Struthio camelus: one gene and its partners. The protein of the gene in region 1 purifies or fractionates together with the protein of each later gene. This does not show direct contact. Links are inferred from orthologs where the notes say so. Each region holds a gene or a part of one and is shown on either strand. Other genes may lie near its edges. The genes, in order: FBL, SNU13, C1QBP and NOLC1.

Evidence for each region.
Region 2: the proteins of FBL (region 1) and SNU13 purify together in Homo sapiens (affinity purification with mass spectrometry; 5 studies listed by BioGRID and IntAct, with this or other methods). This does not show direct contact. The link is inferred for Struthio camelus from reciprocal best matches to the Homo sapiens genes FBL and SNU13.
Region 3: the proteins of FBL (region 1) and C1QBP purify together in Homo sapiens (affinity purification with mass spectrometry; 4 studies listed by BioGRID and IntAct, counting the BioPlex papers as one, with this or other methods). This does not show direct contact. The link is inferred for Struthio camelus from reciprocal best matches to the Homo sapiens genes FBL and C1QBP.
Region 4: the proteins of FBL (region 1) and NOLC1 fractionate together in Homo sapiens (co-fractionation; 3 studies listed by BioGRID, with this or other methods). This does not show direct contact. The link is inferred for Struthio camelus from reciprocal best matches to the Homo sapiens genes FBL and NOLC1.

The regions. Positions count from the first base shown.
Region 1 is NC_090974.1:162,880-170,335, reverse strand, and holds the start of FBL (rRNA 2'-O-methyltransferase fibrillarin), read left to right. Parts: upstream 1-4,451; 5' UTR 4,452-4,502; coding exon 4,503-4,512; intron 4,513-5,755; coding exon 5,756-5,830; intron 5,831-7,151; coding exon 7,152-7,310; intron 7,311-7,456. Other genes in the region: COX6B1 (cytochrome c oxidase subunit 6B1), read right to left, coding at 1,166-1,271.
Region 2 is NC_090942.1:56,644,076-56,652,012, forward strand, and holds the start of SNU13 (NHP2-like protein 1), read left to right. Parts: upstream 1-4,934; 5' UTR 4,935-5,264; coding exon 5,265-5,267; intron 5,268-6,301; coding exon 6,302-6,422; intron 6,423-7,511; coding exon 7,512-7,774; 3' UTR 7,775-7,937. Other genes in the region: MEI1 (meiosis inhibitor protein 1), read right to left, coding at 6-56, 1,640-1,763, 2,141-2,257.
Region 3 is NC_090957.1:13,521,505-13,528,395, reverse strand, and holds the start of C1QBP (complement component 1 Q subcomponent-binding protein, mitochondrial), read right to left. Parts: upstream 3,005-6,891; 5' UTR 2,984-3,004; coding exon 2,725-2,983; intron 2,344-2,724; coding exon 2,193-2,343; intron 1,693-2,192; coding exon 1,602-1,692; intron 559-1,601; coding exon 463-558; intron 1-462. Other genes in the region: ATP-dependent RNA helicase DHX33, read right to left, coding at 6,758-6,891.
Region 4 is NC_090948.1:23,817,554-23,824,636, forward strand, and holds the start of NOLC1 (nucleolar and coiled-body phosphoprotein 1), read right to left. Parts: upstream 3,010-7,083; 5' UTR 2,938-3,009; coding exon 2,827-2,937; intron 2,423-2,826; coding exon 2,367-2,422; intron 1,896-2,366; coding exon 1,774-1,895; intron 179-1,773; coding exon 63-178; intron 1-62. UniProt on the Homo sapiens protein: Nucleolar protein that acts as a regulator of RNA polymerase I by connecting RNA polymerase I with enzymes responsible for ribosomal processing and modification.

The DNA of each region.
Region 1 (7,456 bases):
CCCAGGCGTCCGGGGAGAGACACCTCGGCTTCCGGGAGCCCCTCTAACCCCCCTCCCAAAGGGGCCCAGGCGTCCGGGGGGCCCAGGCGTCCGGGGAGAGACACCCCGGCTTCCGGGAGCCCCTCTAACCCCCCTCCACAAGGGGCCCAGGCGTCCGGGGAGAGACACCTCGGCTTCCGGGAGCCCCTCTAACCCCCCTCCCAAAGGGGCCCAGGCGTCCGGGGGGCCCAGGCGTCCGGGGAGAGACACCCCGGCTTCTGGGAGCCCCTCTAACCCCCCTCCCAAAGGGGCCCAGGCGTCCGGGGGGCCCAGGCGTCCGGGGAGAGACACCCCAGTTTCCGGGAGCCCCTCTAACCCCCCTCCCAAAGGGGCCCAGGCGTCCGGGGGGCCCAGGCGTCCGGGGAGAGACACCCCAGTTTCCGGGAGCCCCTCTAACCCCCCTCCCAAAGGGGCCCAGGCGTCCGGGGAGAGACACCTCGGCTTCCGGGAGCCCCTCTAACCCCCCTCCCAAAGGGGCCCAGGCGTCCGGGGGGCCCAGGCGTCCGGGGAGAGACACCTCGGCTTCCAGGAGCCCCTCTAACCCCCCTCCCAAAGGGGCCCAGGCGTCCGGGGGGCCCAGGCGTCCGGGGAGAGACACCTCGGCTTCCGGGAGCCCCTCTAACCCCTCTCCCAAAGGGGCCCAGGCGTCTGGGGGGCCCAGGCGTCCGGGGAGAGACACCTCGGCTTCCAGGAGCCCCTCAAACCCCCCTCCCAAAGGGGCCCAGGCGTCCGGGGAGAGACACCTCGGCTTCCAGGAGCCCCTCAAACCCCCCTCCCAAAGGGGGCCCAGGCGTCCGGGGAGAGACACCTCGGCTTCTGGGAGCCCCTCTAACCCCCCTCCCAAAGGGGCCCAGGCGTCCGGGGGGCCCAGGCGTCCGGGGAGAGACACCTCGGCTTCCAGGAGCCCCTCAAACCCCCCTCCCAAAGGGGCCCAGGCGTCCGGGGCGAAAGGGGGGCCCAGGCGTCCCTACCCACCTAGTTCCGACAGCTGGTTTCGAACCGCTTCCGGGTGCGGAAGCGGCGCCCGCGGAGCCTCCCCCATCCCCAGCGGGGCCCCGGCGTCCGGGCCTCCTGCCCCCCGCCCCCGGAAGGGGCCCAGGCGTCCGAGGGGCCCAGGCGTCCCTACCCACGTAGTTCTGCCAGCAGTTCCTGGTCTGGTTCTGGTTGGGGAAGCGGCTGTCGAACGGCGCCGTCCGGTAGCGCTGCAGCTTGGCCTCGATGTCGTCCGCCATCGCTGCGGGGGGGGGGGGGGGGAACGAGAGCTCGTTAGCGGGGGGTTCGTTAGCGGAGGGGGGTCGTTAGCCGGGGGGGGGCCTTAGCAAGGGGAGCTCGTTAGCGGGGTTCGTTAACGGGGCTTGCAAGCGGCGGCGGGGGGCGTTAGTGGGGTGTGTTAGCAGAGAGGCGGGAGCGGGGTTCGTTATCGGGGGGGACTCGTTAACGGGGTTCGTTAGCAAGGAGATGCCAGCAGGATTCATTAGCGGGGCTCGTTATTGGGGGGCTCATTAACAAGGTTCGTTAGCAAGGAGATGCTAACAGGATTCATTAGCGGGGCTCGTTATTGGGGGGCTCATTAACAAGGTTCGTTAGCAAGGAGATGCTAACAGGATTCATTAGTGGGGCTCGTTATTGGGAGGCTCATTAACAGGGTTCGTTAGCAACGAGATGCTAACAGGGTTCGTTAGTGGGGCTCGTTATTGGGGGGCTCATTAACAGGGTTCGTTAGCAAGGATGATAGCTTCTTATTAGGGTTCGTTAACAAGGGGCATTAGCAGTGGAGGTGCTATCAGGATTCATTAGCAGGGGGTTCATTAGTGGGGGGGCTCGTTAGCAGGTAGTTTATTAGTCGGGGGGGGGCTAATTAGCAACGTTCATTAACTAGGAGGCTCATTAATGGGGTTCGTTAGCAAATAGGTGTTACGGGGCGATTTGTTAGAGGGAGTTCTTGGGGGGGGTCGTTAGCAGGGCTCATTAACAGCGATCGTTAGTGAGGTTTGTTAGCAGGGGGCTCATTAACAGGGTTCATTAGTGGGGGGTTCGCTAAGGGGGGTCGTTAATGGGGTTCGTTAGCGGAGCATGCTAGCAAGCTTCATTCACAGGGGTCGTTAGGAGGCTCGTTAGCAGGGGGGCGCTCGTTAGGGCTGGAGCTAACGGGGGCTCCCCGAAACGCTGCAGGGCTGGAGCTGGGCAGGGAGAGATCCCAGTGCGCCCAGTGCCCTCCCAGTAAGCCTGGGTTCCCCCTCCCCAGTGCTCCCAGTAAGCCTGAGTCACTCCTCCCAGTAAGCCTGGGTTCCTCCTTTCCCAGTCCTCCCAGTAAGCCTGAATCACTGCTCCCAGTAAGACTAAGTCCCCCCCTTCCCAGTGCTCCCAGTAAGCCTGAGTCATTCCTCCCAGTGCTCCCAGTAAGCCTAGGTCCCCCCCTTCCCAGTAAGCCTGAGTCACTCCTCCCAGTAAGCCTGGGTTCCCCCCTCCCCAGTGCTCCCAGTAAGCCTGGGTCCCCCCCTTCCCAGTGCTCCCAGTAAGCCTGGGTTCCCCCCTCCCCAGTGCTCCCAGTAAGCCTGAGTCACTCCTCCCAGTAAGCCTGAGTCACTCCTCCCAGTAAGCCTGAGTCACTCCTCCCAGTAAGCCTGAGTCACTCCTCCCAGTAACACCGAGTCTCCCCCTCCCAGCACTCCCAGTTAGCTGCCCCCCCTTTCCCAGTGCCCCCCCAGTGCTCCCAGTAACCTCACTCCCGCCATTTCCCAGTGCTCCCAGTTCCCCCCCCCCACCGGCCTCCCAGTCCCGCCCTTTCCCAGTGCTCCCAGTAGCCCCGGATCCCCCCGCTTCCCAGCGCTCCCAGCACCCCCCCCGAGCCCTCCCAGTGCTCCCAGTTCCCTCCCAGTGCCCCCCGCCCCCCTCACCGAGTCGCGCCGCTCCCTCAAAGTGACTTTCACCGCCGCCGCCCTCGCACCGGAACCAGCGAGACGTCGCGAAAGCGCAGAGCGGCGCCGGAAGTGGCGCGGTCCCCCCCCACTCTAGCGGCCCTCAAGGGGCGGGGCCACAGAGATGAGGCGGCTAGAGAGGCGGCCGGGCAGGGAGGGGGAGCGGCGAGGAGGACCGCGGCGGCCATAGAGAAGAGGCGGGAGGACAGAGCGGCGCCGGCCGCCGGGGGGGAAGTGGGCGCCGAGAGGGGCCCTAAAAGCCCCCTCCCCCGGGGACCCCCAAATCCCCCATTCCTACCCCAAAACTCCTTCCAGTACCCCCCAGACCCCCCAAATCCCCCATTTCTGTCCCAAAACACCTCCCAAGACCCCCCAGAACCCCCCAGATCCCCCATTTCTGTCCCAAAATACCTCCTAGGACCCCCCCAGAACCCCCAAATCCCCCACTCCTGCCCCAAAATACCTCTCAGAACCCCCAAATCCCCCTTTTCTGCCCCAAAACACCTCCCAGGACCCCCCAGAACCCCCATTTCTGCCCCAAAACACCTCCCAGGACCCCCTAGGACCCCCAAATCCCCCAATCTTGCCCCAAAATACCTCCTAGGAACCCCCAGAACCTCCATTGGTGCCCAAAACCACATCCTAGATCCCCCCAGAACCCCCCAAATCCCCCTTTTCTGCCCCAAAATACCTCCCAGGACCCCCCAGATCCCCCATTTCTGCCCCAAAACACCTCCCAGGACCCCCCAGAACCCCCATTTCTGCCCCAAAATACCCCCCAGGACCCCCAAATCCCCCATTTCTGCCCCAAAACACCTCCCAGGACCCCCCAGAACCCCCATTTCTGCCCCAGAATACCCCCCAGGACCCCCAAATCCCCCATTTCTGCCCAAAAATACCTCCCAGGACCCCCCAGAACCCCCCAGATCCCCCATTTCTGCCCCAAAACACCTCCCAGGACCCCCCAGAACCCCCATTTCTGCCCCAAAATACCCCCCAGGACCCCCAAATCCCCCATTTCTGCCCCAAAACACCTCCCAGGACCCCCAAATCCCCCATTTCTGCCCCAAAAAACATTCCTAGGATCCCTCAGAACCCCCCAAATCCCCCTTTTCTGCCCCAAAATACCCCCCAGGACCCCCAAATCCCCCATTTCTGCCCCAAAACACCTCCCAGGATCCCCCAGAACTCCCCAAATCCCCCATTTCTGCCCCAAAATACCTCCCAGGACCCCCCAGAAGCACCAAATCCCCCATTTCTGCCCCAGAATACCTCCCAGGACCCCCAAACCCCCCATTTCTGCCCCAAAATACCCCCCAGAGCCACCAACCTCTCCCCCCCCCCCCGTGCCCCCTCCCTCTTTGGGAGCGGTGTGGGCACTTCCGCCCGGCCCCGCGCGGCGTCGGAGGGGGCCGCGGCGCATGCGCGGGACTCCGGAACGGAGGGGGGCGGTGGAGCCGCGCCGTGACGTCAGCGCCGCGCAGGCGCTTCCGGTTCCGGGGCCCCGAGAGCGGCGCGTGCGACCCCGCGTGGAGCAGCGGCGGGATGCGGCCAGGTGGGGGGGGGGGGGAACTGGGAGGGACTGGGGCGACTGGGAGGGACTGGGAGGCACTGAGGGGCATTTAGGAGGGGCTGGGGGCGACTGAGAGGGCCTGGAAGGGACTGAGAGGGCAACTGGGAGGCAACTGGGGAGGACTGGGGGCAACTGGGAGGGAGCAGGGGGCACTGGGAGGGACTGGGAGGGCTCGGAAGCAACTGGGAGGGGGATGGGGAGCCCTGGGAGGGAACTGGGAGACATTGGGAGGGAACTGGGGGGTATTGGGAGGGACTGGGAGAGACTGGGGGCAACTGGGAGAGACTGAGGGCAACTGGGAGAGATTAGGCGGGACAAGGAGGCAACTGGGGGGAGTGGGGGCAACTGGGAGGGAGCTGGGGGCACTGAGAGGGACTGGGAGGGCTCGGAAGCAACTGGGAGGGGGATGGGGAGCCCTGGGAGGGAACTGGGAGACATTGGGAGGGAACTGGGGGGGTACTGGGAGGGACTGGGGATATTGGGAGACCCTAGGATGAGGCTAGAGAGCACTGGGAGGGACTGGGAGAGACTGGGGGCTTTGGGAGAGACTGGGAGGGAGCTGGGGGGGACAGGGAGGCAACTGGGAGGGAGCTGGGGGTACTGGGAGAGACTGGGAGGGAGACCCTAGGATGGGGCTAGAGGACACTGGGAGAGACTGGTGGTGTTGGGAGAGGCTGGAAAGGACTGGTGGGCACTGGGAGGGAACTTGGGGGGGTACTGGAAGGTGCTAGGAGGGAACTAGGGGACACTGGGAGGGGCTGGGGGACACTGGGGGGCACTGGGAGAGGACTGGGGGACTTTGGGAGATGCTGGGAGGGACAGGGAGGCAACTGGGGGACACTGGGAGGAAACTGGGGGGGGGAACTGGGAGAGGTGGGAATGGACTGGGAGATGCTAGGGGGGCTAAGGGGACATTTGAGGGCCTGGGGGCTACTGGGCATACTGGGAGGGACTGGAAGCGATTGGGGGTACTGGGGGGGGGGAATACTGGGAGACAGAAGGAGACTGGGAAGGAAATTAGAGCAACTGGGAGGGAACTGGGCAGACTGGGAGCAAACTGGAGGTGATTGGGGATGCTGGGGGGGGATGCTGGGAGACAGGAGGGGACCGGGAGGGATATAAAGAGACTGGGGGGGAACTGGGCAGACTGGGAGGGAACTGGGGCGGCCTCTGCCTGCTGCCCAGTGCTCCCAGTTGGCCCAGTTTGAGCGCCCGTCTCCGACAGGGTTCAGCCCCCGGGGGGGCCGCGGCGGCGGCTTCGGGGACCGCGGGGGACGCGGCGGCTTCCGGGGGGGCCGAGGTGAGTGTCGCCCCCTCCCAGTACCACCAGTGCTCCCAGTATGACCGGCGCTGCCGGCCCTGGGGACGCCAGAGCCGGGCACGAAGCTCCCCGCACTGTCCCAGTCCGCCCAGTGGGGCTCGGGGCCCCGTCCCAGTCCACCCAGTAGCTGCCCAGTTCCTCTCTGCGTTCATCCCAGTCTGCCCAGTAGCTTTCCCACCCTGTCCCAGTCCGCCCAGCAGCTCCCTTGTCCCCTCCTAGTGCTGCTCCATCCCACCCCAGTCTACCCAGTAGCTCCCCAGTCCCATTCCCAATCTGCCCAGTTCCTCTCTGCTCTCAGTCCAGTCTGCCCAGTAGCTCTCCTGCCCTGTCCCAATCTGCCCAGTAGCTCCCCAGTCCCATTCCCAGTCTGCCCAGTTCCTCTCTGCGTTCATCCTAGTCTGCCCAGTAGCTCTCCTGCCCTGTCCCAGTCTGCCCAGTAGCTCACCGGTCCCATTCCCAGTCTGCCCAGTTGGGCACTAGTTCCATCCCAGTCTGCCTACTTTCTGCTTCTTGCTGTCCCAGTCTGCCCAGTTGCTCCCCCGTCCCTTCCCAGTCTGCTCAGTCACTTCCCCATCCTTTCCCAGTCTGCCCAGTCATTCCCCGGTCCACTCCCAGTCTGCCCAATGGGGCTCCCCCACCCCTTCCCAGTGCACCCAGGAGCTCCACCGCCCCCTCCCAGTCCGCCCAGTTGCTCCCCCATCCCCTCCCAGTTGCTTTCCCATCGTTTCCCAGTCCGCCCAGTGGCTCCCCCATCAGCTCCCAGTCACTCCGCCGTCCCCTCCCAGCCGCTTTCCTGACCCTTCCCAGTCTTCCCAGTCCTCTTGGTCGCTTTCCCGTCCCTTCCCAGTCCACCCAGTGACTTCCCTGTCTCCCTCTCAGTCTTCCCAGTCCGCCCAGTCGCTCCCTCTCCCCTTCCCAGTCCGCCCAGTCGCTCCCTCTCCCCTTCCCAGTCCGCCCAGTCGCTCCCTCTCCCCTTCCCAGTCCGCCCAGTCGCTCCCTCTCCCCTTCCCAGTCCGCCCAGTCGCTCCCTCTCCCCTTCCCAGTCCGCCCAGTCGCTCCCTCTCCCCTTCCCAGTCCGCCCAGTCGCTCCCTCTCCCCTTCCCAGTCCGCCCAGTCGCTCCCTCTCCCCTTCCCAGTCCGCCCAGTGGCTTCCCCATCCCTTCCCAGTCCGCCCAGTCGCTCTCTCTCCCCTTCCCAGTCCACCCAGTGGCTTCCCTATCCCTTCCCAGTCCTCCCAGTCGCTCCCCAGTCCCCGTCCTCGTTAGGGGCCTCGTCAGCGCCGCTGGCCTTGGCCCCGCAGGTGGCGGGTTCAAGTCCCCCGGTGGGGGCGGCCGCGGCGGTTTCGGCGGTGGCCGAGGAAGAGGAGGGCCCGGCCGGGGGGGCCGCGGCGGCGGCCGGGGGGGTCGCGGTGGCTTCAAGGGCGGCAAGAAGGTGACGGTGGAGCCCCATCGGCACGAAGGTACCGGGGGCCCAGGCGTCCGGGCGGGCAGCAGCACGTTTGGGGGAAAAGGGGGCGGTTTGGGGAGGACGGGGGTGGTTTTGGGGGGCGCCGTGGGGCGGTTGGGGGGGCGCCGTGGGGCAGTTGGGGGGGATGGAGGCGGTTGG
Region 2 (7,937 bases), on another chromosome or scaffold:
CTTACCTTCTAGGAACAGGTCCAAGGCACTGCTGTCTTCCACAGTATGCAACATCCCTAAAAGATAAACAGCAATCAATTGTGGAACTCATTCCTAATTGTGATCATCAGTGCTGTAATGCCTTCTTGTAAAAAGAGCTGCAAATCCTTTTAGAACTGTTTTGTTTTTCCCCTGCTTCACATGACACCAACCTGACTTTGTCAAAGGAAGGGGGATGCTCTCAGGGAGGATCACAAAAGATGTCTCCACAAGCAAGGCACAGGGCGATTAAAACATTCAGCTGGGGCTCCATCTTACATTCTGGCACCAAATGCATCCTTGGTTCATTCAAGCTTTATCCATAATTTATGTATTATTACATATACCCTAAACTTGGACTGGGAGCCCAACTGCTCTAGGAGGTATAGCAAGTACACTAAAACCCAAAGCTATCCCCAAACCATTCAACTGTAAAGTCCTTAAAAGAGAGAGACAGGATTATTATTTAAAAATAGGCAAGAGCATTGAAATGCAAACACAACTCCCGGCTTCTGAGGTATTTTGTGTTAGGGTCATACAACATAGGATTGGACTGGTCATAAGCACTGCTCCATCCACATCTATATAGGATCATGTACGCAGACAGTGCAAACAAGAGAACTAAACCTGCAAAAAGGCTCTGTTTCTAACCTAGCTCCGTTTCCAACACATGCACAGCACAGTTTGTCCAACCCAACTGGGAAAACACTGTTTGAATTATTCAGTGTGTCAAGACATGGGAAGGGACTTGTAAGTCACTCCCCCTCCCCCCAAAGAATAAGAAACATCTGTGATGTGCAAATGAGATCTGGGAATTCAGGGAATCCAATATATTTACTCTTTGAAGGTTCTTGCATTCATACCCTCCATCTTTCTCTTCCTGCCTTGCTGTTTCTTCATTTAGACCGCTATTCCTTCTCTGTCAAGAGTTTAGTCAACATTTCAAAGACCTTTCCCACAGCTAGGCAAACAGAAACCACTAAGATATGTTTGGGACTACAGAGACTGTGGTTGGAAAGGCACTTTCTGACATCCCTCTGAACACTCTATTCTGTTGTGAGGCTGACCTCCAGAAAGAAGTGGGTAATAGAGCCCTACAGCCACAAGAATTTGTACAGATATAAAGTGATGGTGTAAAAAAACACCACGTAGGTAAGTATTTTGCACATTTGATATTAAATCCCACAATATCTTTTCAAGCTCACACTTTCATTTCTGTACCAATCTTCATGTAACGCTATAGTTCAGCAAGATGAAAAAGCACTGAGGTGTGACAGCAGAGTGGAAGGCGTTCTGGGAAGAGCAATAAGCGAGAGCGCTCCATCCAGCAAGACTTTAAAGACAAGCTATGATACTTAGGAAAAGTGCAAGAGCTTTATTAAAATGCTAATTCTGCTCCTTGGTTAATAAGGAAATTAATTAACCTATTCTAATCAAATGGCAGCTCCACAGGGAATATAATACACCTAACATGGAAAGGTGGGAGCACAGAAGTAGTTATTAGTAGTCTCAATATTCTTTTTTTTTAACCCGGAGAAACCTCACATTTCTTCATCCATTCAAAAGCAGATGAGAACTGCCCTCTCTCTGCTACTGTATTAGGCCACGAGGGAGCTCTTACCAAAGAGAGTTTCTATCAAATGAACACAAAGCCCTTCATCTGGTGCCAGCAGCTGGACGACCGGCAGCGCCTGCCAGGCCAAGGCATCCCGGAGACGGGAGAGCATGTGTTTCTTACGCACCAACTACAGATCAGAGACAAGCCATTAGCGCTTAGGGCCACGCAAAGCTGCCGCTCGCACCATCCTAGGGGCAAGAGCGTCCGGACCTTACAGCACGTCTGGGCCCAAGGGCTTAGCACCAAGATACACCCAGCCACCTCCGAGCCCCGAATCCGAAGGAGGAGATGGAAAAGCCAGGGAAGCAGGGTGGGGTGGGGTAGCCCTCTCTGTGGGGCCAGCACTGAGGCTGAAGGCTGTGAGCGGCCAACGCTCCGCGGCTGGGGGAGGCCTGGCGGGAGGCTCTCAGCGGCCAGCCCGGCCCAGCGCAGGCAGAGGTGTGTCCCCCCTCCTCCACCATCACCTCCCGGGGGGAGGGGGGGGGCGGCGAGGGCGCTGCCCACCGAGGCGCCGCCGTCGCCCAAGGTCTCCACAGCGCAGGCGAGGCAGAGCGGCGGGCGGAGCGGCAGGGCCCAGCGCGCGCCGTGGCGGCCGGACAGCCTCGCGCACGCCGCCGCCATCGCCCAACGGCTGCCACCGCCAACGGCCGCCGCGCGGGCGGCGTGCGCATGCGCGGGGGCGCCTGTTTGGGGGGGGGCGGGGCGGCGGCCGTTGCCGTGCGACGCCTAGTGAGCGTTATGCCTCCCCGGGCGCCGCGGGTCTCTGCGCAGGTAGAAGGACCTGCAGCAGGACAGGCTGGGGGTTGACCTGCTGGAAAGCAGCTCTGCGGAGAAGGGCCTGGGAGCCCTGGTGGACAACAAGTTAAGCATGAGCCAGCAATGTGCCCTTGTGGCCAAGAAGGTCAATGGGATCCTGGGGGCCATCAGGAAGAGCATTGACAGCAGGTCGAGGGAGGTAGTCCTCCCCCTCTACTCAGCCCTGGGGAGGCCTCCCCTGGAGTGCTGTGTCCAGTTCTGGGCTCCCCAGTGCAAGAGAGACACGGCACTACTGGAGAGAGTCCAGCGGAGGGCTGCAAAGATGATGAGGGGACTGGAACATCTCTCCTCTGAAGAAAGGCTGCGAGAGCTGGGCCTGTTCAGCCTGGAGAAAAGAAGGCTCGGGGGGATCTCATCAATGTCTACAAGTATCTGAAGGGAGGGTGTCAAGAGGATGGGGCCAGACTCTTCTCCGTGGTGCCCAGCGACAGGACAACAGGCAACGGGCACAAACCAAAACACAGGAAGTTCTGTCTGAATCAGAGGAAAAACTTCTTTCCTGTGAGGGTGACAGAGCCCTGGAACAGGTTGCCCAGGGAGGTAGTGGAGTCTCCTTCACTGGAGATATTCAAAACCCACCTGGGCACGATCCTGGGCAATGTGCTCTAGAGGATCTTGCTTGAGCAGGGAGGTTGGACTAGATGATCTCCAGAGGTCCCTTCCAATCTCAACCATTCTGTGATTCTTTGAAAGCCTGGTGGCGCTGCCCCACTGCCTGCCAGGAGCATGTTACCTGCAGGACGCGGGCAAGGGGGGGGGGGAATGCGCGTGCGGTGTCGCCCCCTTGAAGTGGGTGCAGAAAGGGGAGCAGCAGGGGTCCCGCTAGGGTCAGAGAGGGGGGCGCAGCAGCAGTTTGGGAGTGGACGTTCCCCATGCGCTGTGGTACAGGGACAGGTGGGGTAGGGCCTGCGCGGGACCAGATGGCAGCACCAGGGAAATAAAATACCCGCAGGGATGGGAGTAGCAGGGATAGAAAGAGTGTGGAAGAAGAAAAATGGTGTGAAAAGAGGAGAGGGGAGATGAGAGCAGAGCCAGGAAAGCCAGGAAACGGACTGGAGGGAGAGTCCAGAGTCAGAGCCCCTGTTGTAAGGGTGCGCAGGGGAGAACAAGGGGAAAGGTGGCAGGAGACCAAAAGAGCAAGAAAACCCTGAGCAGTGTCCTCTGGTTGCATGGGCACCTTCTGAGTGCAAGGCATGGCTCAACCTCTCCTCTGGTACCCTTTCATCCACGTGTGAGCCCTCAGCCCTTAGACCCCTTCCTTTTCCTTTTCCCCTGGTTGTCCCCTGTCGTGTTTCTATTTCACTTAGCTCCTTCCTCTCCCAAGAGGGCTTAATACTTTGTAGGGCCTGCCTAAAAGAAGGAGAAAATTTTCGTCCTTTACAGAGGTGGTCCCTCCACTGCAAACAATATCAAAATGAATTGGTTGTGTGTGTGTTAGAACCTTAAACTGGTACAGTCTATATGCAGTGTAGAATAGTAGGGAAAGTTAGCTTTCCTCAGCATCAAAGCCCCTTTAAAACGTAAACATCTGGGAGATCTCTATATCCAAGGATAGATGCTCAGGAATACGCTCACACCATATTCACAAAACTGCTAACAAGGAGACATGTACCCGTACAATATGGGCTGTCACCCCTATCTACAGAGCCTTGTCATTTAGTAATAATGTTAATCATAACATGCCGCTGGTCGGTATGAGCACCTGTGGAAATTGGTAAATAGCCCTTAGACTTTCAGCTTTATTTGGCAGAGGAAAAATGAAGAACGAGACATGATTTCTCAGTACCCTTCCATTTATATTTTACATTACAATATACATTACTGTAGAGTCTGGGTCGAAATGATGCTTTACGCATCCCCACAATTCCCTGGAGAAAGAAGTCTGTACTGTCATCCTCATTTTCAGAGATGAAGAACTGAAGCACAGAGAAGTCCTGATGGGCCAGGAGCAGACAAGCAGTCTCCCACTGAGGAGATGTGTAGCTGTAGTTAGTACCTCTCCAAAGTTGAGCAACTCTGCCTTTAGCTTTAGATATAGTTGAACTTTTCATGACTTCATTTTGGGTAATTAAGTCAAACACTTTATCCTCTTCTGCACTTAGAGTGGAACAAAGCTAATAAAGGTGGAATATAAGTGGGAAGAAAATAAATCTCAGAAAAAGCATGAGTATGTCTCTGTGTGCTGTAAATTGAACAACTCCCTGTCTCACGTAGTACTGTATGATGCAGAATTGTCTGCATACTGGTGTATTATGTGTCTGGGCAGGAATAGACCAGCCGGCAGGGAGCAGGAAGCCATCTCAGCTCGGCAGAACCCGGAGCTGTCTGGTGCGCGCGGTGCTGCTGTGCTTCCTGCGTATCCTTAAACCGGCAACCCCCCAGCCTCCACACCGGGAGCGTATCTGCAGTCACTCGGCGTTGGGGCACCTCTTATTTTTCACGCGCAGGTGGCCAACTAAGCGTCATTTGTATGCACGTTCTTGGGGTCGGAGGGCGGGGGGCCTGCAGACGAAACACGCTTGCGCCTGAGACAACGAGCAGACGTTTACCCGCCGCTGACGCCGTCGCGGAGCGCTCCCGCGCCTAGCGCCCGGCCTTGGTTTTCCCGTGGCGCCGACCCCACGGCTCAGCCCCCGCCCCGCGGCGCCGCCCCTTCCCGCCCCCCGGGCTCACCCGCACCTCACTTCCGCTGGCGACGCGTTTCTCCTCCGCCCGGCAGCGCGCTAACCTCTTCTTCCCCCCCCCTCCTCCTCCTCCTCCTCCGTGAAGCTTTCGGGCCGAGAGGACCGACGCGGACGCGTGCGGCGCGGCCATGGTGAGCGGGGCGGCGGGGGGCGCTCCCGAGCCCCCCCCCCCCACGAGGGGCCGTCGGGCTGGCCGCCTTCCCCCCGTCGGCAGCCCCGCTGCCTCCCCGGCGCTGGCGGGGGAAGCACGCGGCGGCGGGGCCGCCCCCACGCTGCCGAGCGGGGCGCGGCGGGGGAGGCCGCGCTTGCCGCGGGGGGGCTGCTGCACGCGCGCGGGCCGCTTTAACACGCGCGAGCGGGTGGCGGTAACTCGCGCGGCGTCTGCAGCATGGGGGCTGGGCGCTCTCCCACGCGTGGAGAGAGCGGGGGGGGGGGGGGCTGGCGCTCCGTGCCGTGGCCCGGGCCGGGAGACCCGGCGCCCGCCCTGTCCCCGGCTCTGCTGGCTCCGCGGAAGCAGAAGCATGTGCTCCCTGTGCGGAAGAGCAGCTTGGGGGCAGTGCCCTAGCTCCCCGTTAGGGCTGGCGGCAGGAGATCGCAGCCGCGGGACGCTGGAGCACTCCCTTCTAGACACTAATCGTGTTTAAGTGGTCAGCTTTTGAATGCGATTGAAAACAATTCCAGTTCCGCCAGTACTAGTTATTAATGCCTGTTATTACCATTCCAATATGCTGTTGATGTTAAAATCTAGAAGCTGTTTGTAATTTGCAGAAGTAAATCCGATACCTTACTCTTCTCAAGCTTTCTTTAAAATTAAGGTCTAAACTTGTTAAATTGTTGCTGGCGGCAACTTGCTCTGAAACACTTCACTTATATAGTATCTGGGGTAGCACATGCTTGAAGACTGCTCCTGGGTCACTGCTGCTAGATTACAGGATTGAAATTGTCCAGCGTTATGTGGCCCAGCAGTGGGGGCAGAGGTGCCGTTTCGTTTGAACATGAGAAATGAAATGCAATGGGATTTTTGGTGTACGTGCTGAGGAGATGAGAATAGTAAGCTGAGTTGACCCCAGCAGTTGATAAGTGTGATAGACTTAAGGCCTATGTAGCGTTGTTCAGAACAAAGCCTCCTTTGCTCCTTGTGTAATACTCGTCTCTTTTTCTCTAGAGCGAGGCAGAAGTGAATCCCAAAGCTTACCCACTGGCTGATGCACAGCTCACCAAAACACTACTGGATCTTGTGCAGCAATCCTGCAACTACAAGCAGCTACGTAAGGGAGCCAATGAAGGTGAGACCTGCCTGTTACGAAGTATGCTAGAGTTGCTTGAATTATCAAAAGAGCTTTGAGAAGCTGTGGCTGGAGGTTTGTCTTTTCTCTCCAGGTGTGGGCCACTAATTTTACATAGATCTTGGCTAATGCAAATATGCCTTGCTTTCCTTCTCCCCTTTGCCTGCTTAGGGAATAGTCAGGGACAGAATTCAACGGTAACGTTTTCAACCTTTATATACAGTTCTGGAGGATGCTCAAACTGTACTCCTGGTGTACTGTGTTCATGTATACTTTAGTGGTGAGGCACTGGGATTACCCGATGTCTAGTTAGTTTAGAATTATAAAATAATTTGGGTTTGAAAGGACCTGTGAAGGTCTCTGGTGCAATCTGTCCAGAGAAGGCTTTCTTTAAAGCTGGATCAGGTTGCTCAGAGCCTTGTCTAGTCAAGTTTTTAAAAAATCTCTAAGGATGAAGACTCCACAATCTCTCTGGGCCCCTGTCCTAGGGGGTTCTGTCCTGTATTACTCTCAACGGTGGAATTTTTTTCCTTATATCCCATCAGAATTTCCATGAGGCAACAGTCACAGACTGCAACTTGTCCTTTCACTTTGCACCCATGAGGATAGTCTGGCTCTATGCCCTTTAGGTAGTAGAAGATGGCAATGACATCCCTCCACACCTTGGCCTTCTCTTCTCTAGGCTAAACAAACCCAGATTCCTCAGTATCTCCTTGTCCGTTGTGTGCCCCGACCATTTTAGCTGTCCTGTGCTGGACTCGCTCTGCTTGTTGATCTCCCCCCTACACTTGAGGGCAAGGCTGAACCCAGTATTCCACATGCAGCTCGGAGTGCTGCGCATGGGGAATGATCCCTTCCCTGGACCTGCTGACTGTTTTGAAGGTCAGCTTTCATCTCTGCGCTGCTGACTGCCGCTCTGTTTAGTCTGGACTTCTTTCATGGCCCTGGAGCTGCCATTTTCCTTGAGCTGTCCTCATGCTACCACTGGATTTCCCGCTTGCTCATGCAAATTTCAACATCTATTAATCTTGCTTTTCATTAATGTGCTTTATAGAAAGCCCTAGACTTAATCTTAAGTTTCTTTTGCAGCCACCAAAACACTGAACCGAGGAATAGCAGAATTCATTGTGATGGCTGCAGATGCTGAGCCCTTGGAGATCATCCTACACCTTCCACTTCTCTGCGAGGACAAGAACGTGCCCTATGTCTTTGTGCGCTCCAAGCAGGCCCTGGGCCGGGCATGTGGTGTCTCTCGGCCTGTCATTGCCTGTTCGATCACCATCAAGGAGGGATCACAGCTAAAGCCTCAGATCCAGTCTGTCCAGCAAGCTATAGAAAGACTTTTGGTCTAAATGCCCATGAGCTTAAGTTTGTGTGGAATAGGACAAGCTGGAGTTGGGGGAAATAATGTTTAGCTGTAGTTGATGAGGTAATAGTTTTGATATCAATGTTTCATTTCAAAACACCTTTTTTTTTTTATTTGTTTAATAGTGACTTAATTCTGAAAGTGTTTCT
Region 3 (6,891 bases), on another chromosome or scaffold:
TTTTTTTTTTTTTTTTTGGCTAATCCCTACTACTCTTCCACCTTTGTGACACCTCAGCACCCATGAGATTTGCAAGTTACTTATACATTGTATTAAATGTATCCTTTAGGCCATTCTTGTTTACCTATCTCAATTTGCCATGCAGTTAAAGAATCCATACCTCCTTTCTCCAATTCAATAAGCTAGCCTATATGTAGCTGATTAGAAAAGCAAGGTCAGGATATAAGGAATGTAATGGAACATCTCCCCAGAGCTTATTCTTGCAGGCTCTTAAAGCCTTTTTTTGTGTTAAACAAGAGAAGCAAGAGAAGACTGCATTTTCTGCAGATTAAGAAAACCAGCAGACTGTTAGAGCAGTTAGATTCAACAGTGGCACAATTACACTGTGGTCAAGCAGGAGATGTGCAGTGAGCCACAGGCCAGAGTTAGCCGTAGCTGACACCTGAGCAGTTCAATACTCACCTCATCTTCAGGATAATGGCAGTCAAGAACAAGGGTCTGTTTTGTATCATCTTTTATTACTTCTACAACAAAGTTTGGAGTTGATGTAATATCAGGCTACGTAAAAGGTAAGAAAGAAATTCACATCAGCATTGGAGTCTGAACGGGAGCTAAAGCAGCCAAGGTACAGCCCAGCAACACAGCCCATCCAGCACCCAGGTTGTTCCCAGTCACCCTCTTTCTTGAGGGCCTCTGGAGTTGTCCTCGCCAAGGCAGCCTCCTCCAACCTCACCCACGGCCCTTCAGCCCCTTCTCTATTCTGCATCTGGTCACGTTGGTAGAACGATCACTAACAACCCAGAGAGCCTGCAACTCACCCAGATTCCTCCCCCTGTAAATTGTTTTGAGAGCAGGAGTTGCTCTCGCCAGCGCTCCTTCACGTGGGACATTTGGCAGTGCACAAAGACTTCCTATGCACACGCACGGACCAAGCGCACTGTGTGTTCTCAGTAGATAAGGGCATGCCCAGGGATGGGGAGCAACGTACAGTCTCCCCAGCCCGCCCAGCTGAGTGTACTAAGCAGTAATGCACTGGAATAAGCACTAACGTTCAAAAAACGCAGAGTAACTGCTATAAACCACAGACATGCAGTACAGTTTCATTCCCTACTTGTTCAACCAATGTCACTGTAGATTAGGCATCTGCCTCAAATCACATTGCTCGCTTAGTTTTACCAGTACTTTTACTCACAGTCTTATGAAAAAGGAGCATGCGACACTCTTCTAATCAACAAAACCATGCAAACAACGTCATGTGAGTAGTTTTGCATTTTGTTGGCATGGCATACCAGTACCATTAGTTACACTAGCTAAGCAAAGTACAAAAGGCAGTATTTATTGTAGCAGGTTACAGAGGCAGCCATAAAGTCAAATATCTCCGTTCCTTTCATCTCTCCTCATACAGAACCCTCTCACCCTCTCTGTCTTCCTGCTACAGAGAGAAGAGGGTCACAGCCAAAGAACAGGAAATTGAGAAAAATCTGCGTTATGTTATCTTTATGCTCCCAAATATCAAATGAGAGAAAAAGCATTAAGGGCAAACAGCTAACTTTCCTGTGTGCTGACATCCATAATAAAGTGTACATAAAGACTATGTTTACCTCCTGCTCATCAGGTTTCTGCTCTTCTTGTGTTTCTTCTTCTTCAAGAGATGGCGGAATGCTGTTATTGATGTTGAACGTAACCGTTATCCTTCAAAAGAACCATAAGCAATTATTTTAAACACAATAAAGAAAATACTTACTGTATCTCTCGTATTTGAAACTTTTGTAGCAGGGACAGCACTACAGCCATTGAATTCACACCTCATGAACGAGATTCAAAGCATATTACATGTTCTGTTCTATTTGTCCTTCCCTCATGTGGTATGTATTGCAGCTTAGAGTTTAAGATGCACGCTCTAATAAAACAGGTGGGCGTTCTTCAAGTTTTATTAGACTGATTTCATGTTTTTAATGGAGGGAGATCTCACAAATCTTTGCAACACACAAAACAAAGCCAACTGGTAAGAAAAACACCTTGGGCCCAGGATGGTAAAATAACGAGCCTATGCAACACCCAGAGTTTGCGCAGCCTGGATAGACAGTGGCACAAGCAACACGAACACACAGAAGAATTGTGATTACTGCTGTCAAGCACACACGCTTGCCCAGATGAATCCTTAGAAACGCCAAGCACCCGTTTGCACTTACTTCTCCCCAGCTATTTTCCGGACCAGCTTGGCCTCTGTGCCATGGACTTCCAGCTCCCACCCTCCAGATATCTTGGGCAGGGATTTATGTTTCTGGATCTTCTTCTCCTCTTTTATTTCATCCGTCAGAAAGGCTGCAAACGCTTTGTCTCCTTAGGAGGCAGCAATAAGGCGAGTGAATAAGAAAGGAAAAAAGCAAGAAACCCCTCGAGAGCGGGCAGGGGCTGCAGATCGCCCCTTCCCCCGCGGCCACCGCGGGAGACGGTGGCGGGGGGGGGGGGGGCAGCACGGCCCGGCGGGGGCCGAGGCCGCTCGTGTCGCACCCCCCCCGCCCGCCACGTGCGGGCCGGGACACGCGCGACCACGTGGGGGGGGGGGAGGGCGCACGTGGCCGCTCGCGCCCCCGCCCCCCTCACGGGGGCCCTGCCCCCCCCCCCAGGGGGCCGTCGCCCTCCCAGAGCGGCTCCCCCCGCCCCCCTCGCCCCTCCTGCCGGGGGGGGTCGCTCCCTCCCCTCGCCGCCGCCCCGGCTCACCCTCGGTGTGGAGGCCGCCGCAGCCGCAGGAGACGCCGCCGGCCGAGCCCCGCCGCGGGCGCAGCAGCGCCCTCCGCCACCCGCCGCCGCCCAGCTGCCACAGGGAGCGCGCCAGCGGGGCGGCGGCGGGCGGCGGCAGGAGGGCGCGGGGGCAGGAGGGGGCGGCGAGGAGGAGAAGGGGGCGGCGGGGCTGGTGGCGGGGCGGCGGCGGGCGCAGGGCGGCGGCGGCGGCGGGGCGCAGGGCGCGGGCGAGCAGCATGGCGAGGCCGGCAGCGGAGGACACCGCCTGGCCCGGAAGTGCCGCGAGTGCTTCCGGCGCAGCGCGCTCCGCCCCCTTCCCGTCCTGCCTCGCGGCAGCGCAGCGGCGAGCGCGCCCCGCCCCGAGCCCGGCGCCGCGGGTTCGAGTCCCGCCCCCGGCAGCTGCGGAGTCCCGCCCGGAAACGCGCTGCTTATGCAAACAGAAGGCGGTAGAGCAGGGCTCGGTCCAGCTTTGCGTTTACCTCCGCTTTACAGACAAGGAAGTGGAAAACCTGAAGTGACTTGCTTACAGCGGTTGCAGAGGGACGCCTGTCAAGGGGGCAGCTCACTACTCTGATGGGCTACAAAGAGCAACAATACACAAGAGCAGCACACGCACCACGTCTACGTCAATATTACATGTATATACATCAATATTTACCACCTCTCCACCCCATGCACTCGGCGGGTGAGGCTCTGGCGCTGCTGAAAGGGTCACAGAAAAGCTCCAGGCGCGTGGAAACGACGCTGAAGCTTCAACACTGACCGCGACAAGAAAAAAGCATCGTTGAGCGCTGAAAGCTTTATCCCTGCATATCCTCCCGGCTCTTTCTTAGAAGAATAGCCAGCTTTCTGGCAAGGCCTCAGAAAGGGGAAACAAATGATTTTTTTTGGCCTTTAGCAATAAATATTTTAGAAGGGGGCGCGACCAAGGCAAACTGCCTCCTGGCTTAAAGCCCGGGCTTTGTCTCCAAGTTGGCACTCTTGTCCCCTATTGACCACAGAATCACAGACTGGTTGAGGTTGGAAGGGGCCTCTGGAGATCATCTAGTCCAACCGCCCTGCTCAGGCAGGGTCCTCTAGAGCGTATTGCCCAGGATCACATCCAGACGGGTTTTGAATATCTCCAGCGAAGGAGACTCCACCACCTCTCTGGGCAACCTGTTCCAATGCTCTGACCAGACCCACAAAAGGCCAATTAGTGCTTGCAGCAAGGCTCTGGCTGGAGAGGTCCGGTATCATGGCTTCAAAGGACCAGGATTTTTGCTCCCCGCTCGTGTTTGAGTCCTGCCTCCGCAATAACTGGGCCCCTCCTGTACGCAAAGCCCAGACTCACCAACCCCTGCTAAGGTTTTATCTTTAAAATCCAAAGTGCTTCAGTGACACCGAAACCCCGGACGGCGTCAAGACAGGACACTCGCCCCCGGACTTCAAGCACTACTATGAGGACTTGTACCGAAACGTCCTGCCATCATTTCTGTTAGCTATGCAGCTTTCCCGCCTCACAAAACGACACCCGGCACTTGGATTTTAGCCATCGCTCTTTATTGTGGGAAAAATATACAAATCAGTTACTTCTAAATCAGTTCCCCATCCCCTCCCTTAAACAGTCTGCTTAATTAGACTGCCCAAACCAAATGTGCTTTTACTCCATTTTCCCCTACAGATGCAGTCTGTATAAACAAGGAAGAGTTACGTACAGTGCTTTGATAATTCCCTGCAGTTTGTGCGAGTGAGAACAATTGAAATAACAGCACACTCTTGAAACACGAATCAAAACCGATAGCTGCTCTTACATACAAAAGTGGCAACGGCTGCCTGTGCCCCGCACACTGGTGTGTTTCTGACCACCAAGGAACAACACCGCAAGAGGCACAACACGGACGCGAGCCCACTTCCACGGGACCCCCGCAAACTTTCAGTATCACCCTTTCCGGGAACAGGCTGAGAGACAAGACCGTTCTTGGTACACTGGATCCCTATCTACTCTCTTTGGAGACAGCAATTTGCAGACCAGCAAAAGTGAAATTCCATTTTTTTTTTATTTTTAAGAGGTATTTGACCCAGTTTTCAAAGAGAGAACCAAGGTAAGTCGAAATCAGGAGCCCAAAGAGAAGGCATATTACAATGTGCTGGGTAACTGTGATGTGTGCAACCAGAAAGGACATTTTGCTAACTGGAAAGTGCAGCTTGTTCCCACAGATCCCACGAGCAAAGCCAGCAGTTTATTTACTCCCCAAGCAAATGGAGTGAGTAAGGGCTTGCCAATATGACTGCATCCCTGAGCAGTCCCACTAAAATGCCATGAGCTTTTATTTTTGTTTTAAGTTGATGCTTGAAGAACGCAAGAACTGAACACCACTTAAGTCAAAGGGTGAAAATCCCGTCACAGCCCATGTTAGCTAACCTCACTGTATTATATAATGACACCGTATTTACAGAACGGCTTTCTCTCCCACTCTATAACAAATCTGCTTTAGTGCAACTCATCCAAAAATCTGTATAAACTAATACACTGTGTCAACAGACTCTGTTGAAACTGGAAGTCACCTCTCCCAGAGAGGTTATTTTAGAACTACTTAGGGCATCATTTAAAAACAACTTAAATTTTTTCTCCACCCACACACAGTCATAATGTAACCAACCCATTTTCCTTCACACTACAGAACAAGTTTTACCTTTGGAGTGGTCTTAGTTCCTTAATTACAGTATTTAAAAAGAGGGTTAAGTTTCTTATTGCCACTTCTCTCCAATAAGAAGAAAAAAAGATAGTTAGATGCCAAAGGGATATGGAAAAATAAAAATAAATACTAATGGCAGATCTATGGTTCTTGACAAACAACGCCAAGCTCCAAACTTCTAATGGAGAGTCAAAGTATAATTGGGGCCTGGGGGGGCGGAAGGGGGAAAGAAGCACCGGTGTCAGAGCAGAAGAAAGGTTTGATGATTCCAGTGCCTTTAAAGGAAGTCTAAGAGTCTAAACTACATCTTCGTACTTGGTTTGCTGAGTTCGCCTCAAACTAGCTTGACTAGCTATTGTGGACGGTGTGCCAACTCCAAAGCCAGAAGTGTCCAGATACAGAGCGGGGAAGGACGTAAGAGTTTGCTGCTAAAACGCTGGATCCTTCCCAGGAGTGAGTCCCTCCTCCTGTTTTAAGAAGTTTGGCTCTTCAGAGGAAGAAAATCGCTCTAGACAGAGCAGATTGCATCTTTCCACGTGGAACCGTGGGGCCAAATATTGAGAATCTACAGCTGCCTCCTCCACGTGCATCAGACACAGAGGAATTGCATGCCCTAACAGCAAAAGGGAGAACAAAAGCAACATCAAATGCACAGGTGGCTGGACAGCCCCTCCGAGAAAATACTACCAGCCCCTGGGACACAGACACAGGCAATGAAGACCTGTCCAAGCAGGTGACGCCATTACTAGCTTTCAGCTGGTCCCAAATGACGTGGTGAATATGACATGCAGGCAGGAAGATGTTTAATGAGGTAAAAGACAGTAGCACCTCCCTTCTAGAAATAGTTTAAAAAAGGCATTTTTTCCCTGTATGTAGAGATTTAAAACTTTTTTCTCCTTTTTTTGCCAATAAAACCTGCTAAGGATACAAGCACAATCATCAAAAAATACCAAGTCTGCTCAGAAGAGCTCTTAGGATTTCATTTCTTCGTATACAAGCTCGTTAAAGTTTAGTAAGTGTTAAAAACTGGAATCTGATACCAGCTCCCTTTCCCCCCCCCCAACACAGATTTATCACTCTCACACACACACACGCGTGCACACAGAGTACTTGTTATGTTTCCCTTTTACAGATTAACTGCTATAAAGGATGATTGTTCTAAGCCATGGAGACTTGTGAGGTCTGGCTCTCACAGAGAAGCCATTTTTCCTCTAAGGTTTTTACCCGATTTACAAGGCAAAGCTCTACCATTCCCATACATTCATTACAAAACAAAAAATAGCCTCATTAGGTGAGCCTAAAAATCCTGGTCCTGTTAGCCCCAGGCCTGCAGGTCAGTTCTTGGCTGTTCTGAGCTTCCTGCGGAAATAGTCAGGGGCTGCATCATACAGCCAGTCCGCATCCACCACACAGAGATCCCGCATGTAGCACTTGTTGGTGTGAAGCAGCCCGTTGTAAACCACGCAGG
Region 4 (7,083 bases), on another chromosome or scaffold:
CAAATTTACTTTTATCCATCACTGTCAAACTTGCGTGAAAGAGGCTGGAAAGAAAAGCTGACCTTCTCTGGCTTCTTTTCCTCCTCAGAGTCTGAATCATCGCTGGAGTCCTCACTGCTGCTCTCTGCCTTCTTGGCTGGTGGAGATGCTTTCACCTTGGGCACAGCTGTTATTTTAGCTGCAAATAAGGGACAGCACACACTGATAAGTGAATTCACAACTTTCATATACATATATCCTGGACTACTGTGTGTCAGGGCAAAAAGATAAATGAAGGTTATTAAATCACAGCTGAAGTTCAGGCCTTAGCTTCTCAAGCGGAGTGTGACAGAAGACTCCAAAAGGAATAAAAAAATTCCAGCTTCATTCAGTCCTTGTCACACGTATGTTTAAGTGCAGACGTTATCACCAAAACCTTCACCCCATGTACAGAGTGTCCCCACAAACTGAGAGGAGATTAACTGGGCCTGCACAGTTTTCAGCTTAAAAAAACTGCCTAACAAGTGCAGACTTCCAAAGAGAACCAGCGCAATGCTGTTTTGAGCTTCCAGACTCATTGCTTAACTTGTTTTAGCCAAGTCTACTCCTTTCTGGTTACTGACTGCTTCTTTTGCTGCACATCATTAATAAATCATTTCACCTCAAAGTATATTTCTGACCTCCCTTTTCAAAGCAAAACCAGGCCTCAGTTCAAATTCACCTTCAGGTTAGGTTGAATTAAAGACCGGTTTTATTTCTGGGTGTCTCCCTCTTCCTGTCTACTACTCTTTTCCCACAAATCTGCTGCTAGATGCACGTCAAGTTGAGTACGCAGTGGTTCAAGCAGGGCATAAAAGCAATTCCAGATTAAAAAAGGGGAAACACAGCTCACCACCTGCCAACATGCAGCGGAGGGACTTATCTCTAGACAGCACTAGGACACAGGCTTGAGAAAGGAGGGTAGGAACCTCACACAAGCAGCAGAGTAAGCCTGCAACTGATTAACAGTGCTTGCCATTTCTCTGAAGTCTCTCTTCCACAAGTGTCCTGCCTCAAATAGGTCACGATGCCCATCAATACACAAAGAAGCCTGATAACGCCAAGTCAAGTATAAGTTTTGTCAAATTACGTGTATTTTAAGAAACGCGCAAGCACATGTACCCTGAATATACCCTGAATCAGTTGTCCTACAACAGTAGGACAAGGAGCTATTCTTTAAGGATTCCACAGGAACTGAGAGTCCCAGGGAAACAGAAGGAAGAAAAAATCACGGAGTACCTCCTTCTCCAAGTATTAGCCCAATTTATATGCATTCAAACAATTTCACTCAATATTTAAATCAACAAGACTTTGAAAGCACTGAAGTGGATGAGAGTAGCTCTGCCTGGATATCACAACAGTAAGTATTTAGACAGCAGAATCGCAATATAGATAATATAATGAACTTGCTACTTCAGTAGCACCTTCAGAATTCATTACAGCCTAATGCCTCCACCAGCCTGAGTCAACAGAGACAAATCAAATCATTAAAGGCTTCTAGCAGATTCAAAACTCCATCTACTTCAATTACAACTGGACGGAGAAATCACCCTCAAGGAGGAGGAACACAGGCTACAAAAGCAGATGGGAGTCATGGGCAGAAGATCTACCAAAACCAAGATCACTCAATATAAAGCCAATCCTTGACAGCAACTTAAAGACTTCAGATGAGCAGAAACTGAGCTCTATATCCACATCACGAAGAAATTTTCGAACATAATGCACATCTGCCCTAAGAACTTTTACAAATCTTACCTGGTTTCTTGGCTGGGGGTGTTTCATCTTCCTCACTGGAGCTGTCATCACTGCTTGAGGAAGATTTCCTCTTTGCACGAGATCCATTGGGAACACTTTTTCTCTTTTTGGCAGCAGGAGACCTACAAAGAGAAAGACTTGGCTCCAAAGAAAGTTTCTGCTGACTTTATGTCCTCCCAGCCTTGAGAAAGTAAAATGTTATCCTCGGGAACAATCACTTCTCCAGCATTCTATTTTATTCTTTGTTACAGCACCAAACCTAAGGCTACTGACGGGTCTAAAAGAACAAAAACTGCTATAAAAGTTACTATTCAAATATTAAAACCCATACACTAGTCTTAGCCACTATTTTTTGATGTTATGATTGCCCTGTACCATCACCACCATCCAAGTTGCATCTACAACAGCATCACCGCATACATGACTTTTCACTGAAGCACTTAATCCACAGGCTTAAAAGCTTTTTCTCCAAACAAGCTATCAGCAAGACTGCAGATCAGTGCCGAAGAAAGCTCAGTTTTGCAAGCCGTGTGTCCCCAGGGTAGATAAGCAAAGCACCCTTCAGCAAATCTTTCAGGAGGCAGCAAACTTACTTCAGCCAGTAACTAAAGACGTCTAAGAGAGAGGCAGCATTGGGATCCTGGTCTTTCTGTAGGAATACAAACAGAAAGTTTGTCGACTGTTAGCGCTCTGACGGAGAACACCGCAGGGTAACTCCTGAACCGCTTGCGACCCGCTTGCGGACGAACAGCTGCCTCCTACAGCAAACTCAGCCAGGAGAGCGCACCGGTTGTGCAACCAACACGCTCACATTAAAAGCCAAGAAGCAAACCGGGGCACGGCGCCGCTGGATACCCGCGTCTCAGCCGGTCGCGGCTCGGCGGCGCCGCGGTCCGCCGAGGTCCCCGCCGCCTCCCGAGCGGCCCCTGTCCTCAGGGCGCGCCCCCCGCCGGCGCCGCCGCCGCCGCCGCCCAGGCCGCGCAGCCCGCGCCGGGGCCCGGCCCGGCCGCCGCCCCAACGGCCGCAACGGCCGGCAGCCCGCGCGCCGCTCACCACTCCCGCCTCCCTGGCGAAGGCGCGCGCCGCCCCCTCGAAGCGGTTCTCGCGCAGGAAGGCGAGCACGAAGGGGAACAGGTCACTGGGCACCGCGCGCCACGCCGCCATGCTGCACCGCCGCCACGTGCCGCCAGCGCGCACGCGCGCACGTACGTACGTACGTACATCCACCAGCCCGCCCGCGCAGGCGCGCGCACCGCCTCTCCCTCCTCCCCCCACCCTCGGAAGGGCGGTGAAGTTCCGGCGCCATCTTGGCGGGACTGTCGGGAGCGCTGGGCCCGCCCCGGGGGAGGGCAGGCTGCGAGAGGAGCGGCTCGGGAGCGATATGCGGGGGTGGGGGGGACGGAACGTAGCCGGAGAGGCGGGCGAGGGGAGGGCCGCTCCGGTGAGCCTGGGGGCGCGCAGACGTCGATGCGCGCTGGCGAGAGCCCGGAGGAGAGATTTGCTTGCGGGGGTGCGCGGGAAGGGCTCGCAGAAGCTCTGCAAAGGAGGGATCTGCCCGCTGTGGCCGTGCCCTGGGCGCGAGGAGCTTTGGGAAGGCCCCGCTCAGGGCTCGGGGCTGGTGCTCAGGCCCTGCGTGGGTCACAGGCAGGAGCGGGGTGCTGTTTGCGGTGCAAAAGCAGGCTTAGGCTGAGGGGCTAGGAAGGCAGATGGAGCTGACTTTCTGCTATCAGGTGTTCAGAGCGATGCCTGTACGTAAAGGCAGCAAGACAGGCAGTAATTTTGGCTGGGTAGGAGGAACAAGACAAGAAGGACTCTACAGATGGTGATTGACTTGGACCTGTGAGTTAGAGCCCTCAGAGATAAGGGTTCACCTTTAGCCAGAACAGTGTCCGTTTTCTCTCTTGCAGTCAGCAGGGCTATGAGACCTTGGAGAAAGAAGAGAGCAGGGAATGACCTGCCAGACAAGATCCTAAGGAGGACAGCAGGGAGTAGGCTGTGTGCTGGTTGAACTGTTCCAGAAGCCAGATTCTATCAGAGGTCTGCAGCAGAGAGGAAGAAGGCATGGGAACCCAGGACAAGTCTGACAAAGGAACTTGGAGTGTGCGTGTGACCCTGGAAGAGGGAATATTTCAGTTAACTTAAACCCATTCCCTTCCTTTCCCCCTCTCCCACGTGTGAGTCTGCTTCTGGTTATAGTTCACTTCAAGGGGAGCATCACAGAGAAAAAAGAGCAGAGCCACTCCACAAAGGAGGATAAACCAGGAGCTGAGGGAGACCCTGGTGCAGACAGAGCCCTCACCAACAGGGCCCACTACCACAGAATCTGAACAGAGCAGGGTGCTGGCAACAGGATCCACCGTCAGTCCCAAGCAAGGTGGGCAGCGAATGAAGTCTAGGACTTCGCCAAGGAATCCCTTCAGGAGCAAAGGGAGGTAGGGCCAGAAGCAGATCTGGAGCAAAAGCTACAATGTGCACCATCTACAAGATGGGGCTAGAGAAATGACTGGGAATAAGGCTACCTGCAGCATAAGTTCAAGGAGAGTCCAGGAAGTAGGATTGGAGGCAGGACTTGAAACAGGTACAGCTGCAAAATAGGTCAGGTAAGCAAGCACAGAAAGCTCAGGCCTGAGCTTAAATGGAGCTCCATGGCATATGAGCAGGGTGAGGGGTGGAAGTCCCCGGTGAGGCTGATCAGGGCAATTAAAGCCTGTTAGTGCACTCAGGGCCCTGACAAGGAAGAGATTTCATTCAGCTGCTGTCTAACAATATGACTTTAAATTAGTCATCTCTCCTTCACTGAAGTTCTTTCCCTTTTGTTTAAGGTATACGTTAATAAACGTAGCGCTCTGTTCCCTTTACCTTTGTAATGGGGCTTCCCCCCACCCCTTCCTTCTCTTCCCCCTCCCTCCCCTTCAATAGAGCATACAGCAAAACCTCCTAAGGACAAAGGGAGATGAGAAAGAGCACTGTTCTGAAAGTTCTGCGTTAGAGCTGCTAGAGATAAAGAAGCAGCAGTCGGTGGGTACTATTGTACTCTTGATGTTCCTCTATTCCTTTGCTCTTAGCTGTCTCCAGATGCTGCTGTGCCCAGTTACATGTGGTCCTGTGCCTCTTGCATGCAAGTAGGTAGTACTTTTTGAACGTGTGCTTGGGCAGGTAGTGTGCCCAGCAAGAGACATCTGTGGTGTCTGGGGAAGACGCCACTTTTGCAGTGCTGGGAAAAAAAGCAGCTCGTGCAGTGGTTGACTTTTATGTGAGCTTCTGTTATCCTGTAAAGATGCTGTTGCCTGTGGTGTAGAGAAGGGGTGCTCAACTGAGGGCTTGTTGAATATGTGCACTCTCAGACCCTGCAGCGCTTGTGCAATCTTTGATTTTTGTCAGGGAGAATACTCTGTTCTCAGGCGCCCACGTCTGGTCTGCAGCTATTGTGCCTAGAATAACTGAGGTCTGTGCTGCAGAAAGGCAACTGCTCCCAGGAACCAGTATATCTCTGAGCTCTTATAGCTTCCATTTATTTTGAGCAGTAAGAGGTAGCCACAAGCTTCACCTGCAAAGCTCAGCACAAGTTCTGTGCCTTGTTGTCTCAGGCAGAAATGAAGAGATGCAGCCTTTGCTGCTGTGAGAAATTGGGGAAATGCATTACTGGCTGTGCTTAGAATACACTTGCTTCACAGGCTCACTTTGCTTCTCATCCTGGTTAGTAAGCATCTCCCTCTCCTTGCAGGCCTTTACTATTTAGGTCTGTTCACGCATGCTAGATGAGTGCTTCTGTTCAGAGATGTAACTATCCAGGTGTGCTCCCCTGGGTTGTGCCTATAACTCTCCAGATGACAAGGTAGAGCGGTACCATACAAAGAAAGCTCATATTTTGTTCTGGATTTCCCAAGGCAGTAGTGGGAGACCCTAGTGGGAGTAGTGGGGTCTGCTACATCAAACCAAGTTTGACTGACTTTTGCCACTGCTTGCTTCTGTCTGTTTCTCTGTTTCTGTTCCTTTTCATTCCTTCCTCTTGGCTGGCATATCTCTCTCATTAAGACCCCCGGAAGAGCAATCTTTCACCTCATGAGTGAGCATTCACATGAGAGAGCTTTGCTCTTCCAACTTTTTCGTGACCAATAACAAGTGAAGAGGTGGCATGGGTACTCAAACGCTTGCTGGATCCTTTCTTTAATCGCTCTCAAAAGTACCTAGCAATGTTGCTGCACTACTTGCCTAGGTTTGCAGAAGTTCTGGAAAGAGCAAGCTAGTCCTTTGCTTTGGACAGGGTAAGACAGACCCTTGAGAAAAATGCATTAAGTATAACTATGTTCAAACGTTGCTGCAAACCAGAAGAAGGAAGATTAAGATGTATACAGTCAGTTATGGGCAATCGAGCATGAAAGACTACCTGTCTTTCTTCAGTTTGTTTTTAATTCATTGTAAGCTATGTACATCTTTCACTTAGGCCAGCCTAATATAGTAAGATGTGAAGGGGCTTTGGCCTCCCTCCTATTTGCTAAAGTCTCTGGAATGTCTGTTGATTTCAGTTTGGCTTCACAAGAAGCCATTAGTATAGGAAGCGAGGTTGAAAAGCTAAGGATTTGGACAGTGCTGAAAGATGGGGTGTGATTTTTGTAGATCATATTTCTTTTTTTTGCTACCTTTATAGAATCTCAGCATGTTTAGAAAGGGTAGATCAAATCTCACAGTACTCGGGGGAAGAAGAGAGCTTCCCATTTTACAGGCATGTGGCAGTGACAAGTAGGTGTCTCTGCCCTGAAAGTCATCGGCAGAGACAGGCAGAGCAGAGCCAGTCCTATCTCCCTATCCAGCAAACAAGTGAAATTGCCCTTCAAATCAGTGCACTGCAGTTTTGAACAATAGCTCCAGCAGTGCGAACAGCTGTGAGATCTGATCTCAGTATACTGAGATCAGTATATCAGTATATGGGGCAGTTTTCCAGTTGACTGTGCTGCAGTGGCTGAGGAGTGCACATGGCTTGATGAGAGGGGCTCTCTTTTTGTCTCCCCAAGACAAGTCTATGTAAACTTTTCCTTGGTGTGAGAGGAGGAGGAGGATTTGCCAGGATGCTTTAGACTTCAACTTATCAACTGCTTCAACTGCTTGGGACCAACCCAAAGTTCTTGACGATGGAAGCTGAATAACACTGAGAACTCGTGCTTTCTTTACTTATTGTTTAGATCCAGCTGGTTAAGTCTGAGCAAAGAGTTGGTGTCTATTCCAAAATTGTGTGTGAGGGCCAAAGCTGTGTTAGCACATTTTTGCTGTAAAAACCTCAGGCAGGTTGGGGAGCGTGGCCAGGAGGAAGGG